Drosophila melanogaster: one gene and its partner. Changing the gene in region 2 together with the main gene of any one other region gives a genetic interaction. Each region holds a gene or a part of one and is shown on either strand. Other genes may lie near its edges.

Region 1 (6,005 bases), on a different chromosome or scaffold from region 2:
GTGGAAAAGAGAGAAAAGCGAGGAGAGCGCTGTTTGCATCATACACCGCAATGAATGAGTGCCCCATAATTGTGACTTTGGGTCTGAGGCGGTTCCGCTGCCCTGCCCCCCGCTCTTCGCTGCTTCCTGCGCCGCGGAAGGCGACGGCCATCTTTATCAGCCACCCCGACTCCCCACTCCTCTTCATCGTCACCCTCATCGTCACAAAAACTGGTTTCCGCTCGCCACTTTCTTTTGCTCTCTGCGCAGGCGCTCTTCGAAGACAAGAGACTTGCAGGCGATTGGTTGAATTCGTTCTGCGTTTCTATGGAGTTTGCTCCCATTCTTTTGGGGGCAGCGACCACGCCCAATGACGCTGCTCTCCTCTCTGCCGACGTCGCTGTCACTCTCTTAAGTACTAAAAAATAAAACTGAAAGTAAAGCTAAATAAAACGCTGCCATAATTGGCATCGTTAATGCCAAAACCATGAATACTAAAAAGTTTTTACGAGCATAAGCTGCGATTGAGCAGTTATTGTAGGGACAGGTTGATGGCCGAGTGTTCTAGGGAAATGAATGAATGAAGATTTTTTCTTACTACCAAAACTTCTACAACTAAGTGAAATAGACGGATTGAGTTCTACATACTTCCTACATATATTTTAGATATAGACATAGCCGAAAAGTATGCTGCACTTTTTCAATAAAAACGTAAGCAGCTACGTTATCACGCATGGCTTCATAGCAGCGATCATCTGCCAGCGAGCATAGCCAAGTTAGGCACCTGCACACATTGCCACTCTTTCCTTTAGCGTTGCCACTTCAATTTCTTTTACAAACCATCGCAGCGTGTAATCGATATTTTCTAAGCCCAATCGATGAATGTCCGGTAACGCACATCACCAATCTGTTTCTGCTGCCTCATCTTTGAATTTGACTAAAAGTGCCGATTTCCAGCTCAACGAATAGTCCAAGTCGCGCCGAATTGTACAATTAAGTTAAAAAGTTCAACGTCAACTAGTTTATCATGGCAGATTCCAAGGGGTAAGTGAACTGGACGCCGAAATAGGCGCCGACTGTGTCGGTCCAAGTCGAAATTCACAAATTTCGCTCAGTCATTGAGCCGAAAAAAATACGCAAGGGCCACATCGCAGACATACTATTATTTAATTGTGAAAGGCTTTCGCCGATTTCCGCGAGACAAAGACATTTACCGCGACTTTTCCACTGCTCGGTTGCAAAATGTTGCGAAACTAGGGCAAACCTAAAAACCGAAGAAAAAAAAACGCCAGCGAGAATCGCCATTTGCAGTACGTTGTTGTTGTTGTTGGTGTTACTGCCCTTGCAGTTGTTGTTGCCGCTTGAAAACTTACGATTTCCCTTTGTTGTCCCAAAAATACAAGTCATCCTTTGCTGGAGGATACAATTTTCCGGTTGTTGTAGTTATAACTTTGGATACGAAAAACAATACTGCATACATATATGGCAGCTATTTCTATAATAAATCGCGAAAATCCTAAACTATATGCCGAAACCACTTATTTCAATGCTACCTATTAGTAATACCTTTTTTGATATTGCATTAATTCTAGAAAAGTCTTTGTGCTCCCTCAACTCGCCAGAAGTAAAAAAAAACATATCGTTTAAGTAACAATAAATGCATAATTTACCTCAAAGTTTAGAAATTATTATAACAAATGGCGCCAAAAAAGTTGGCATCGAATACAAGAAATACAAACATACTTTTATAACTAAAGACAATAAACAATTGTACTATTATTCCGATTAATATAGATTTTTATGAACGATATAGGGTGATAACCTTTTATGTTCAAAAATCTATCAATAAAGATTGATCGACATCATCACGTTAGCAACGAAAAATGATTCGGCAGGCCTAATTATCCAGATGCTTAGTTCCATTCCGTATTACTAGTGAAAGTAGTTTCCATAAATTTATCAAAACTAACAAAAAAGGCAATCCAAAAAAACAAAAAAAAAAACAAAAAAAACAATGTCTGGCGGCAAGAACGATAAGATGGATCATGATGGGGATACGAGGGACTTTATGCGGGGATATCACAGCGAGCAGGATGAGAAAATGAAGCCGAAAGACTCGTTCGATAAGCGGTTAGGCCAAATTATATATAAGACATAAGATATTTCTTTAGCGACGAGTCTTACGCGATGCTTTTTTCTTCTACCCTACAGTGAAGATCTGGCTACGGCGATCCTGAAGCGCAAGGACCGTCCCAACCGACTGATTGTGGAAGAGGCGCAGAATGACGACAACTCTGTGGTGTCGCTATCGCAGGTAAGATTCACTCTCCCAAAGGCCACGTCATCGCATGGCTAATTCACATGACTTGGCTGTTCTTTTTCCCCCTTAAACTATATCAGGCGAAGATGGATGAGCTGCAGCTCTTCCGTGGCGACACCGTGATTCTGAAGGGCAAGCGCCGAAAGGAGACGGTGTGCATCGTGCTCTCGGACGACACCTGTCCCGACGAGAAGATCCGCATGAACCGCGTGGTGCGCAACAACCTGTGCGTCCATCTTTCAGATGTGGTTTCCGTGCAGTCCTGCCCGGACGTCAAGTACGGCAAACGGGTGCGCATCCTGCCCATCGACGAAAGCACCGAAGGCGTTACCGGCAACCTGTTCGAGATCTATCTGAAGCCGTACTTCCTAGAGGCCTATCGGCCAATCCACATGGGCGACAACTTTATTGTGCGCGCCGCCATGCGTCCTATTGAGTTCAAGGTGGTGCTGACCGACCCGGAGCCCTACTGCATCGTAGCTCCCGAGACGGTAATCTTCTGCGACGGTGATCCAATTAAGCGCGAGGAGGAGGAGGAGTCCCTAAACGCCGTTGGCTACGATGATATCGGTGGTTGCCGCAAGCAGCTGGCCCAGATCAAGGAGATGGTTGAGTTGCCTTTGCGGCATCCATCGCTCTTCAAGGCCATTGGTGTGAAGCCACCGCGTGGTATTCTTATGTACGGTCCCCCGGGTACCGGTAAGACCCTGATTGCCAGGGCTGTGGCCAACGAGACCGGAGCCTTTTTCTTCCTGATTAACGGACCGGAGATCATGTCCAAACTGGCCGGAGAGTCGGAATCGAATCTGCGCAAGGCCTTCGAGGAAGCCGAGAAAAACTCGCCGGCTATCATCTTCATCGATGAGATCGACGCTATTGCCCCCAAGCGTGACAAGACCCACGGTGAGGTGGAGCGTCGCATTGTGTCGCAGCTTTTGACCCTGATGGATGGCATGAAGAAGAGCTCCCATCTGATCGTTATGGCTGCTACCAACAGGCCCAACTCCATTGACCCGGCCCTGCGTCGCTTTGGACGTTTTGATCGTGAGATTGACATCGGCATTCCAGATGCCACTGGACGGCTGGAGGTGCTGCGCATTCACACCAAGAACATGAAGCTGCATGATGATGTTGACCTGGAGCAGATTGCTGCCGAATCCCACGGACATGTGGGCGCTGATCTGGCTTCACTCTGCTCTGAGGCTGCCCTTCAGCAAATCCGTGAGAAGATGGACCTCATCGATTTGGAAGACGATAAGATCGATGCCGAGGTGCTGGCGTCGCTGGCCGTGACAATGGAGAACTTCCGCTACGCTATGACCAAGTCCAGTCCATCGGCGCTGCGTGAAACTGTTGTTGAGGTGCCCAACACCACCTGGACAGACATCGGAGGTCTGGAGAGCGTCAAGAAGGAATTGCAGGAGCTGGTGCAATACCCAGTGGAGCATCCGGACAAGTTCTTGAAGTTTGGCATGCAGCCCAGTCGCGGTGTCCTTTTCTACGGACCCCCTGGTTGCGGTAAGACGCTGCTGGCCAAGGCCATTGCCAACGAGTGCCAGGCGAACTTCATCTCAGTCAAGGGTCCCGAACTGCTGACCATGTGGTTCGGCGAGTCTGAGGCCAACGTGCGCGACATCTTCGATAAGGCCCGCTCGGCGGCTCCTTGTGTGCTCTTCTTCGACGAGCTGGACTCGATCGCCAAAGCCCGTGGCGGTAATGTCGGCGATGCTGGCGGCGCCGCTGATCGTGTGATCAATCAGATCCTTACCGAAATGGATGGCATGGGAGCCAAGAAGAATGTGTTCATCATCGGAGCCACCAATCGCCCGGACATTATCGATCCGGCCATCCTCCGTCCGGGCCGTCTGGATCAGTTGATCTATATTCCGCTGCCCGACGACAAATCGCGTGAGGCTATCCTGAAGGCTAACTTGCGCAAGTCGCCGCTGGCCAAGGAAGTAGACCTTACCTACATCGCCAAGGTGACGCAGGGCTTCTCTGGCGCCGATCTGACCGAGATCTGCCAGCGGGCTTGCAAGCTGGCCATCCGACAGGCCATCGAGGCTGAAATTCGTCGCGAGAAGGAGCGCGCCGAAAATCAGAACTCCGCGATGGACGTAAGTCATTTAGCTTAGCGCAAAAAATAAGAATGTTTATGTTTGACTATTTACCCATATAATCAGATGGACGAGGACGATCCAGTGCCGGAGATTACTAGCGCCCACTTCGAGGAGGCCATGAAGTTCGCTCGCCGTTCGGTGTCCGATAATGACATCAGGAAGTACGAGATGTTTGCCCAGACTTTGCAGCAGTCCCGTGGATTCGGACAGAACTTCAGGTGAGAATTGAAAGGCATTTCTTGTTGGAATCCAGGTTACTGATGATAGTGTATATGTTATTGCAGATTCCCCGGTCAAACCGGCAACACCTCAGGATCTGGTAACAACTTGCCAGTTAACTCGCCCGGCGACAACGGCGACGATGATCTTTACAGTTAGATTTCTAGTTTTACACCGCAAAACAAAACCACAAAATGGAACTTTTTAAATGAATTTTTTCCGTAAAACCGAGCAAGCAAAACCAATCACATTCGCATCCTGGACGCGGTAACTTACTACAGCAACCATTGGCTAAGACATCCAGCCGATGGCGAAATCAGATGACATACCCGATTCAATATTCACTTCTTTGATACCATCCTTACTCTTGGTCGCGGATACGTGCAGTAGGAGAAGGTTCCCATTTGGATTTGGGCTCGCCTAATCCGAAACCATTTTAATTGGCGAACTATTCCGCGCCTCACACTAATCATTCGTGCATTGTCGGTAGAGTGGCTCCGATATATGAGTTTCTATAAACATAATTATTAACGATACACATACACACATACATTTAAAGATAAATACATATATTAAACACCGTAAAATTATAAGTGTATTTGGAGCTACATTTTTAAGTGAATAAAAATTATAAATTCAACAAAATCATGTGCTTTAAATTGAAGAAATATTGAAAAATAGACGCAACGAGGTAATTGGGTGTTGAGATTAAAGAGCAAGAGTTACATAATCAATTATTTATTTTTGATAAGGTTCACTAGCAAAGTGGAACGTTGCTTTATTTTAACTGATCATTGGCCACAGTGCAATAAAATGCGTAATAAATTAAATTGGTCGGTACTCGTATGAGTGCAGTGAAAAAATATGTCTTCGTGCCTCGATTTCTGCAAGTCCAATTTAGTCATCAAGAGTACTAACCAAATCCATACTGTTCCCATTTGAAAATATCATTTCATTTGTTTTATCGCATTTATTAAACTTGTATTAATTCGTCATGTTTGCTTTTTCTGGTTTTCAATTGTTTTTTCACTTTTATTTTTATTAATTCTTTGCGACATAACAAGGACATCTTAATATGAAGTTAGTTGAATTCTTTCATATTTAAATAATCATTATCGCTTCGGTCTTATAAATAAACTTTCTTTGCCATTCTTTTAACCGCTCGTTAATTAAATCAATGTTTTGGCATCGGTAAATGATAATAAGGGAAATAATATTAATAATAATGTTAATGGCAAAAGCAGGAAACTTTGAATTTGATTGGCTTTTTAATGCGTTATTGCAGCTTCTTCGGCGCTTAATTTAAATGAAATGTGTGCTTCCTTTTCTCTCAGTGTCTACACCTTCAATTCTGCAAATATGCTTTT
Region 2 (3,711 bases):
TTATCTTGGAAGCCACTTTTTTGGCTACTCGCTTGTAGTGGATCAGCGCCTTCTCACAGCTAATGGGCACATTGATGCCATAAAGATAGCGATACCCCATGGCCATTTGCGCCGGAGTATTATCACCGAGGGCAGCCAGGCTATAGTGGATCAGTGCCAGGGGCTGGCTTACATTTTTACCGCCAACGCCCACCGAATAAAGGAATCCCAGGCCCATGTGAGCCTCTGGGACGCCTTCGTTGGCCAGACTCTCAAACTCATCGACAGCATGGTTGAAATCAAAGTCCATCCATTGACCCAGTAGGGCGGCCCAGGCTAGTTCCGCCCTCGCCTTGAGGTGATTAAATGCAGCAGCCTTCTTAAGCAAAATCATGGCTACTCGCTTATCCGTGCTTGGCTTGGCCAACATGTCCATTGCGTTGTCGTACACGGTTTGAGCTGGAAAAATTGCAATCAGCAACTGCAAAACAAATAAAACGATGCCCACTTACCTTCTATTTGGTCTGGGGTAAGTTCTAACACTTCAGTGGATTTGCGTTTGGCTTCGATGCGCTCGATCTCGGCTTTCAGCTTTTGCCGCCTGATCAGACTTTCGTTCCACAGGCGTTCGAACAGGGAAGCCGGCATAACCTTCGTCCTGGAAGCAAACTTTGTGGACTCCTTGGGTTTGTCTGCCTTGCGTTCGTTGCTTTCCGACGGAACCCGCGACTCTGATTCCGCCGTGGTCACCTCCTCCGCCTCCGCCTGGGTGGAGGGCTCATTGGGCAGCGTTGGCGTGGCTGTTCCCGTGCCCAATCCCGTTCCCGTACCCGTACCTGTGGCCGAACCCAAACTGCTGCCCGTACCATCAATGTTGGGCCCTTGGAGCTCCTCCGCTCGCAGCTGCCAGGCGAGAAGCAGCGCCAGCAGGCACATCCAGCTGTTGGCCTTCATCGTCGCCTATCTGCCTTTCTCGATGGCAATGTGGATGTACAACGGCAATTTTGGTCTTCGCCTTTGCTGCGTCTATATGGTGCTCTTCCACTTCTGACGTGTTGTGTTATTTACTGTTTTCTTGGGGCGCAGGGTCGGCAAAAAGAGTGGATTGCTGCTTCTGGGTGGATTCGTTTGACTTACTGGTAGCTCATTTTGGCCACCTCGACTTGGTGGTGGTTGGAATACCTTGGTTCGGTTTCCTTAATTTTTCACACGTAAGATTCTTTTTAATCTTTTTTGTTGCAATGCTTAGTGCTGCGAACGGGCCGAGGTTTGTGTGCCAGTGCTGCAAAGCACCGCGTCTAAAACAGTCTTTTCCAGGGGCGTCTCCAAAAATATTTTCGCGAATTAAAAAGGAGTAATAAAATCGAGACAGGCTTATAAATATTTAGTCAGGACGATATCAAAACTTAATTACAACTTTTTTTTATTATTACAAGCTACATTTAATAATATTACAATTTGCCTAAGCCTGACGGTAAAACATAAAATTTTAAAAATATTTGTACATTTCTTTAAAACGTATATGCACCAAAATGTGGAAATTATGCTCAACAATTATTTCCCGGGCAACTGCGATAGTTAACGTCTAGAATGTCTTACCCCGAAAAATTCCCAGGGCTTGCTAGCTACGCCCCTGGATTTTCCGGCTGTTGTTTCGTTATGCAAAGGAACGCGCAGAGTTTAACCAGAAGGAAATCTGAATTGGAACTGTTGACGCGCAATCGAAAGTGATAATTACGAGCGGGAATAATTAGAATACGAGGAAGATTTCCGCCCGTGTGAATCACCAACTTTTGTCTCGTCCAATCCAAGTCAGCCACTGAGCAGCCGGCATGGAGATGAGTGTAAGTAGAAGCTGCGACCTGCGTGCCAGACACCCAGACCCAAAAGTCACAGCCCAAAACCAAATTGAAAACCGAAACCAGTTCCAACCCGCGCTTCAACCGAGTGAGTCGCACAGCGAATCACTCTTCGAGCTCAGCCGTTAGTGCTGGTGAAAGTTACAGCTGTTGCGTTCGCTACGTTCGCTACCTAGTAACCGCCACCTGTGCCCCGATTCCTAATCCTCCAGTCGACACCTGTTATTTCAGGCTGCCATGTTCGCACGCGTTTCCTTCTACCCCACCCTGCTGTACAATGTCCTGATGGAAAAGGCATCGGCCAGGAATTGGTACGATCGCATCGATGAGCATGTGATACTGGGAGCACTGCCCTTTCGCAGCCAGGCCAATGACGTAAGTATCCCCACGGAACCAAGCCTGAAATCCTTCTAAATCCTTGTTTAACCGCTCAGCTCATTGAAAAGGAGAACATGAAGGCGGTGGTGTCGATGAACGAGGACTATGAGCTGACCGCCTTCTCCAACAACACGGAGAAGTGGCGAAAGCTTGGCATTGAGTTCCTGCAGCTGGCCACCACCGACATCTTTGAGTCGCCCAATCAAGAAAAGCTCTTCCGCGGCGTGGAATTCATAAACAAGTTCCTGCCTCTAAAGCAAAGAATTGGTGGCCTAAGTTCCTCCTACCAGCCGGAGAACGTGGGTTCTGTCTATGTGCACTGCAAGGCTGGTAGGACGCGAAGTGCCACTTTGGTGGGATGCTACCTCATGATGGTGGGTTGGTTATCTATTTGCACGTAGCTCTTAAAAAAAAGCTCACAACTTATCCTTTGCAGAAGAACGGATGGACTCCGGATCAGGCGGTTGACCACATGCGTAAGTGCCGACCGCACATTCTGCTGCACACCAAACAATGGGATGCCCTCCGGTTATTCTACACAAACAATGTGGAGACGAAATCATGACCAAACCTGGACAATAGCCCAAATTTATTGTTTACAGTAGATTACCATACGTAACAAAGGTGGTGCCTGTTACCCAACTACTTTAGTGCTGATTTTCTTGTTGAATATACAATTTTCTACAAAACCCGCTCTGTGCAGCTGTGACTTTTTACAATTCTTTATTTAATGCTTATCGCGAAACTATGAATAAATAACTGGTGTTTCGTGGTTCATCAACTGATTGCTCCTTTGACATTTAAGCCTTCTCGGCATCCTTGCCCTTGATGGCCCAGAAGCGCTTGATACCATTGGCCAGACCCACATCATTTTGGATGAAGTAGAAGAGGCCGCCCAGCGTGGCCACCGAGATGATGATCAGCGCAATGTGGGCTACCTTGGGCAGGACGTTTCCAACGACAGATGGCCGCATGTAGTCAACTACCATGGCCTCCACGCCCCTGCGTTTGGTGAATGAGGAAAATATAAGTAAAGGTTTAATTTTCCTCAAGGATATCTTACCAATGGGTGTGGATGACGACAGAGATGGCCATGAGGGCGTCCAATACCTGGGATGGAGCTATGAAGGCAGCTGGAATGACGGCCAGTAGGCCGGCGGACACAATTCGCTCCACAGTCCAGAGCAGGGTGTGGCTGGATCCAGCGGAAGCCATGCGGGGCGCACTCACGGAGATCTCGCGCACGACGGGCTGCATAAGCAGTCGAGGATTACCATTTAGTATGATTAGCCACCACTGAATTTTTCAACTCTAAACACTTACCGCTACAATCTTGGCCACGGCCAGGGGCTGGACCACCGCCTTCCGCTGGACATTGGCCACCAGGGTGGAGTAGCTCTTCAGGGGAGTGATGCGAGCCGACTTAACAAGATTTGCGGCTAATTGGGATACCAACAAACGGTTTGGTTATATAATGAAAGCTGTTTTGCGTCCA

Evidence for each region.
Region 1: of PTPMT1 (region 2) and TER94, changing one suppresses a phenotype caused by changing the other (phenotypic suppression), as found in Drosophila melanogaster (one study listed by BioGRID).

Annotation. Positions count from the first base shown.
Region 1 is NT_033778.4:9,988,281-9,994,285, forward strand, and holds TER94 (transitional endoplasmic reticulum 94), read left to right. Parts: upstream 1-1,922; 5' UTR 1,923-2,017; coding exon 2,018-2,109; intron 2,110-2,190; coding exon 2,191-2,293; intron 2,294-2,379; coding exon 2,380-4,416; intron 4,417-4,482; coding exon 4,483-4,637; intron 4,638-4,703; coding exon 4,704-4,797; 3' UTR 4,798-5,279; downstream 5,280-6,005.
Region 2 is NT_033777.3:23,756,706-23,760,416, forward strand, and holds PTPMT1 (protein tyrosine phosphatase, mitochondrial 1), read left to right. Parts: upstream 1-1,633; 5' UTR 1,634-1,811; coding exon 1,812-1,823; exon of another isoform or gene 1,824-1,852; intron 1,853-1,902; exon of another isoform or gene 1,903-2,069; coding exon 2,070-2,213; intron 2,214-2,272; coding exon 2,273-2,590; intron 2,591-2,652; coding exon 2,653-2,781; 3' UTR 2,782-2,901; downstream 2,902-3,711. Other genes in the region: Hrd3 (HMG-coA reductase degradation 3), read right to left, coding at 1-438, 492-933; SdhD (succinate dehydrogenase, subunit D), read right to left, coding at 3,017-3,218, 3,280-3,467, 3,540-3,655.